2 linked regions of the Xenopus tropicalis genome follow. The protein of the gene in region 2 interacts with the protein of the main gene of each other region in a biochemical or structural test. Links are inferred from orthologs where the notes say so. Each region holds a gene or a part of one and is shown on either strand. Other genes may lie near its edges.

What was found.
Region 1: the proteins of ralgds (region 2) and rap2a form a complex in vitro, tested with the Homo sapiens proteins (2 studies listed by BioGRID). The link is inferred for Xenopus tropicalis from reciprocal best matches to the Homo sapiens genes RALGDS and RAP2A.

Annotation. Positions count from the first base shown.
Region 1 is NC_030678.2:121,612,064-121,616,150, reverse strand, and holds the start of rap2a (ras-related protein Rap-2a), read left to right. Parts: upstream 1-1,287; 5' UTR 1,288-1,394; coding exon 1,395-1,708; intron 1,709-4,087. UniProt on the Homo sapiens protein: Small GTP-binding protein which cycles between a GDP-bound inactive and a GTP-bound active form. In its active form interacts with and regulates several effectors including MAP4K4, MINK1 and TNIK.
Region 2 is NC_030684.2:11,315,712-11,318,137, forward strand, and holds part of ralgds (ral guanine nucleotide dissociation stimulator), read left to right. Parts: intron 1-1,198; coding exon 1,199-1,374; 3' UTR 1,375-2,426. UniProt on the Homo sapiens protein: Functions as a guanine nucleotide exchange factor (GEF) activating either RalA or RalB GTPases and plays an important role in intracellular transport. Interacts and acts as an effector molecule for R-Ras, H-Ras, K-Ras, and Rap.

The DNA.
Region 1 (4,087 bases), on a different chromosome or scaffold from region 2:
GAGGAGGCTACTAAGTGTTAGTATGTCGTGCCAAGCCGCCAGTATAGGGACTCAAGAGGATAGATATAAGGTTCCTGGAGCATGGGACAACTGTGAGCTCCGCCTAGCACTGGGGATTGTTTCACCAAGGCAATAATATCTCTGGGGTTTTGTGAACACTACTGCTGTGAGTAACAACTTATGTGATAATGTATTTGAAGTGTTTACTGATTTGTGAGCTTGTACTATCCAAATCAGCACCTCCAGAGAGATAGGGAAGGCATTCCATTAACAGTTATCATTTGTTCTTAAGAACCACTGGTGCCCAAATTAATTGTGAGATCAAGTTCCGTGTGGAATCAGTGTGGTTAAGCCTTCCCCCAGCAGTAATGGAGAGGTCCTCCTGAGAGGAAAGAGGAGTCGCAGGGAGTTGCTAATATTACAGTACAAGGTACTACTAAACAACCTGTTGCTTAAAAAGTCTGCAGGGATTTACGGAATAAAGGAATGACATACAAGTATATATATAAATGGAGAGTTAATATTTCTACGTTTAATGCAATATGTTCTCATATTATACATTGCATAGAGCAGTGGTCCCCAACCAGTGGCCCATGAGTAACATGTTGCTCACCAACCCCTTGGATGTTGCTCCCCGTGGCCTCAACGCAGGTGCTCGTTTCTGAATTTCTGGTAAGGAGGCAAGTTTTGGTTGCATAAAAACCAAGTATAATGCCAAACAGAGCTTTCTGTAGGCTGCCAGTCCACATAGGGGCTATTAAGTAGCCAATTATAGCTCTTTATTGGCACCCCCAGGAACTTTTTTAATGCTTGTGTTGCTCCCCAAAACTTTTTCCATTTAAATGCGGCTCACAAATATAAAAGGTTGCGGATCCCTGGCATAGAGAGACTCATAGGACGGGCAGCGGATCTTTATTTCAAACCCATTTTCAGCACTGGTCTCTTTCTATTGGCTTGTGAGTATGACGCCAAGGTCATACTCCACTCTGATTGGCTGCCGCTGAGGACCGAGCGATGGCTTTTTTTCCTCACAGCATCCTGATAAAAGAAGGCGGATTTGGTGATGCCAGTCCCGTTCTCCTCCCTGTGTTCCTGAGGACCGGTAGTTGCTAAGGCGACAGGTGAAGGAGCCAATGGTAGAGAGGCGAGGGCCATGACGAGCAAAGTGGGCGTAGAGCACTGGCAGAGCGGGGAGTGGGTAGTTAGAGGCCGACGCGAGTCACTGGGGGGCGAATGAGCGAATAACAGCCGCTCCGGGAGAGGGGAGCTCCGGGCACCGGGCCCACGTAGCCCGGCCTTTTTCCCATGTCTCGTAAAGCCGCTGCAGAGGAGGGGCGGCGAGGACGGAGGGGGAGGCGGAGAAGCGGTGCGCTGTGAGGGAGCGGAGGGGGACGATGCGTGAGTATAAGGTGGTGGTCCTGGGAAGCGGCGGGGTCGGCAAGTCGGCCTTGACCGTGCAATTTGTCACAGGGACATTCATCGAGAAGTACGACCCGACCATTGAGGATTTCTACCGCAAGGAGATAGAGGTAGACTCGTCCCCCTCCGTGCTGGAGATCCTGGACACGGCCGGTACCGAGCAGTTCGCCTCTATGCGGGACTTGTACATCAAGAACGGGCAGGGCTTCATCCTAGTGTACAGCATGGTGAACCAGCAGAGCTTCCAGGATATCAAGCCCATGAGGGACCAGATCATCCGCGTCAAAAGGCAAGCGGGGGGGGGGGGGGGAGTAGGGTTGGACGCGGCCCTCCAGCTGTTCAACTACAACTCTCACATTCCGCTGCCAGCTTGGCATTGCCGTACAGCACAGGTGTGGGGCCGCGGCTCTGCATCATTTACTGCACAGAACAAAGGGGGCCCTTAGTCTCTAGTTACTTTTGTTCAACCTGCCAGTAAACTGCCCCCCTGTCTCCAGCCAAGCCGCCTCTCATTGGCTCCTGTGCAGCTCATTGTCCTGTTGCCCTGTTAGTGCCCATTGGGGCAGGCTGGGGTAGAGCCTTCTGCTGTGGCTGCTCCCCTATTGCATCCTTCATTTATTTCTTTTCTTTGTTTGTCTGCCCAGTCCAGCTTTTGTACATGTAATGCTTTATATTATAGATTGGAAACAGAATATTGGTCCCTGCAGTATGACTGACATAGATATTTAATATGTCTGGGTCTTTCCCCATAGTCTCTCTGTTACAGCAGGGAACAATGAGGCTCCTCAGAGGAATCTCAGACACTGGCAGAATTGCAGAGCTTTTTGCTTGATGGCTTTGCTGCACAGTGGAGCCTCAGGGTATTCATATATATATATATATATAAACACAACACATGCTGCTCCCTACTGTCATTCTACTGAGTCATCATGTATCATATATGAACTTGCCTTTAAATAAACATGCACATATGCTCTACTGACCTTATGTAAAGGGATTGAAAGGCACTGAAACCCTCAGCCAAAAGCATCTTAATTACATATGAACATAACAAGCATCTGTGAATATCCTGCCATTATCATCTAAGTCTGTGGCTGTACACAAATTGTCTACATCTGGATAGGCTTTCTATTTAATGGCATGATTTAGTGAAAACCTCTGTGCATGTATACACAAGAGAAGTGTATAATATATATATATATATATATATATATATATATATATATATATATATATATATAGTACAAGTTGTTTTAGACACAAATTGCTACACTAGTAGCACCAGAAAAAACAATGCAAAAATGTGTGAAATACCATCAGTCATGGTTAATACACTTTATATTGGCGATTAAATGAGTTAGAAGTAAATATATGACATTTAAGTTATAAAATATATATATATATATATATATATATATATATATATGCTTGAAACGATCATGCTGTGATATAAAGCAGTCATGCTGTGACCATTAAAGACTATAGATAGGGCGGGTAGACTTGATCTATCCTACCTGTTGTGGGATACCAGCAGATCCAATTCAACAGTGCAGCTTTGGTCCACAAGTTGTGCCTCATTGAATTCATTTATATCTAAGTAGTTGTTAGAAACAGTTTTTCATGAGTATCCAAAGGGCTACAGTGGTACATGGGTTTTTTCATGTTGGCTTTGAGCTTATGGGTATTGGTGAGCTATTTTCCTTCTGTATATTAATGCCATGGGTTGGTGCATGACCATTAACACTAGCTTGCCTACTTGGGCACTTCGGGATTCAGTTTTGATGAAAAAATCAAAAGGCAAAAATCAAAACTTCAGTAGGGTAAAAACTGTAGTGATAGTTGTTTGGCCCACAGGTACAAGTGTTATGATTCCCACTGTAAGCTGAAAAGCAAGCAACAAAATGGTTAGGATAGCCATTGCTCTTAGACCTGTAGCTCATCGGGTTCATTTCATTCTTATACAGTCTGGTTTTGATTCACTAATTTCAATTTTACACAGTGTGTCATCCTCCATTCTCAAACCTGACTACCCATACAATAAAGTAGCTCTTTCTTTGTTGATAGTGGAACTGTGCTTCTTTTCCCTGAATGAATTCCTAGTTATGAAACAGCTTTGTGTCAGCCTCCGATAGTTTGGTGTCTACTAGAATTGTTTAATCCCTTTTCAGTTTAATATCTCCCCAAATGTCTATTATTTAAAGTATAATTATTATAATACTTCCCATAATATGTAGCTATAAAGAACACCAGTGCATTTTCTCTATGTGATGAGGAATGCTGGCCTGAAGAAAAAAAAAATCCATTACTCCAAAGTCCAGTGGTGCGAAGTCACACGGGGCAATTAGTGGCTGCAACTTTTTAAAAAGTTGCAGTGACTAATTGCCCTGCTGCAAATGACACGCAATTAGTCACATCTATAGCAGTTCAATTTCTGCAATTAGTCGCCACTACTGAGTTTTTTTTTAAATTGCGGTGACTAATTGCCCCCTGTGTCTTCACCATGAATTGTGATTATAAACTTGTGTGCGGCGGCTCAACCATAATAATCCATTACTCGCAACACTTTTGTCCAGACATTGCTTCCAGTGACTAGTTGGAACTCTACTGTAGTGTGTGTTCCAACTGAGGATATCTCATTCTCATTTTAAATATGACTATGAAGATTTTA
Region 2 (2,426 bases):
CAGGAGAGGGAAGGAGGGGATAGAGGTGCAGGAGAGGGAAGGAGGGGATAGAGGGGAAGGAGGGGATAGAGGGGCATGAGAGGGAAGGAGGGATAGAGGTGCAGGAGAGGGAAGGAGGGATAGAGGTGCAGAACAGGAAATGGAGGCTAGATATACAGGAAAATGAGGGCTGGATGTGCAAGAGAGAGAGAGAGAGAGTGACCAATAGAGGTGCAGGAGAGGGAAGGAGGGGATAGAGGGCAGGAGAGGGAAGGAGGGGATAGAGGGGCAGGAGAGGGAAGGAGGGGATAGAGGGGCAGGAGAGGGAAGGAGGGGATAGAGGGGCAGGAGAGGGAAGGAGGGGATAGAGGGGCAGGAGAGGGAAGGAGGGGATAGAGGGGCAGGAGAGGGAAGGAGGGGATAGAGGGGCAGGAGAGGGAAGGAGGGGATAGAGGGGCAGGAGAGGGAAGGAGGGGATAGAGGGGCAGGAGAGGGAAGGAGGGATAGAGGGGCATGAGAGGGAAGGGAGGGATAGAGGTGAAGGAGGGATAGAGGGGCAGGAGAGGGCAGGAGGGATAGAGGTGCAGGAGAGGGAAGGAGGGATAGAGGGGCAGGAGAGGGAAGGAGGGGATAGAGGGGCAGGAGAGGGAAGGAGGGATAGAGGTGCAGAACAGGAAATGGAGGCTAGATATACAGGAAAATGAGGGCTGGATGTGCAAGAGAGAGAGAGAGAGAGAGAGTGACCAATAGAGCCACAGGACAGTGAAGTAGGGATAGAAGTGCAGGACAGGAAATTTAGAATAGAGGTGCAGGCAAATGAAGGAAGGCTTGTTGTGCAAGAGAGCGAATTGAGACTTCAGAGATACAGGAGAGAGAGGAAGAGCCTGGTACCTAGTTTAGAAAGAGTATAAGGCCAGATGTTGGACTGTCAGAATTTAGAGACAAGCAAGTAGTTCTTCTATTCTCCATAGAGCTAAGTCTCCTCCTTCCTCCCAATGGCAGGAGTCCAGCTCTATAAGCAGTGCGATTGCATTGTATATTTACCCTGTGAGTTGTGACTTCACAGCAGATACTCATTACTTATGTGCAAGAGAACAGTGTATGTTGGGAGAAACCTGCCCCCTGTGTTTGTACCTGCAAGGTGGCAGGGGGTATAGTTTCTGTTCTAACGGTACCACTCTAACGTGATTCCCCTTCTCTTATGGCTTCCCCTCTGCAGAACTGAAGATCCCTGACAACGCCAACGTGTTTTATGCCATGAACTCAGGCGCCAACTACGACTTTGTACTGAAGAAACGCGGCTTCTCCAAAGGCGTGAAGATCAAGCAGGGCTCCAGCTCCACATTGCCCCGCATGAAGCAGAAGGGACTCAAGATCGCCAAAGGCATCTTCTGACACGTGCAAGGTGGTCAAAATGGCCTCGTTGGAGCCCCCTCAACAGGACATTGGTGGGACCAGTGCCCCCCAGAAGGACAGCACTTACAGCTCCAGTCCAGCAGATGACTTCTTGGTTCAGGTGGGAGCAGTCGCGGAGCTCAGGCCGACCCTCGGCTTCCTCTTGTTGACTGTGAGGAGAGAGGAAGCCCTTGCCCATCAACGGGACTCAAAATCTGCCTCCATGCCTTAGGTGCCTTCAAGAGAAGGGTGGGGTGGGACGTAGGAGAAGACGCCCATCGCGTGCAGTAGTGAGGGATTCAGTATTAATGATGCTGGCTATAGCGCGCAACGCCCTCCCTGTGCCGTACTGACACTTTGTGGCATTGCCCTTTCGATGAGGAAGACTATGATCAGGGAGTCGCCTTCTCCTTTTACAAAAGGGACTTCCCCTGAGGGGTTTTCTCACCAACATGAAGCACTTTCCAAAAACCTTAGAAACCCTGAAAGCCCTGGAAGGATATGGCTGGCCTCCAACGTGACCATGAAGGAAGCCATGTTAAATGAAGGCCTGTTAAGGTGGAGACTGACACCGCCCCCTCCCCCCCAGTCCTGCCCTTTCTCCGCCCCCCATCATCCAGTGCAGCATTTCAAATCACACCAAAGATGAATCAGCAACCACCCCCCCACCTTGGAACCTTTCTCTGCCCATTGGTCGATAGTCGCTCTTACCAGCCGGAGAAAGGTGCAAGTACTAAACCCCCTTAAAAATTGTATAGTTTTTTTTTTTTTTGTGTAAATATTCACTTTTTATTTTATTTTTGGAACACTTTGGGGCCAAAATGTGACATTTGTAAGCGATCTCCAGCAACGGCGATGGAGTGGGTCAGTACTGTGGATTTACGTCCTTTGCGTGTGCGTGTAAAAATGTTATTTTTTCTTTTTTAAAGAAATATTTATTGGTTGTAAATAGACAAATGGAGATACTTTAAGCCCCGTGCCAACGTTTCAGCCAACGCCTGGCGCCTTCGGGTAACTGTAAATACGATGAACTGTGTGATGACGTTTGTGCG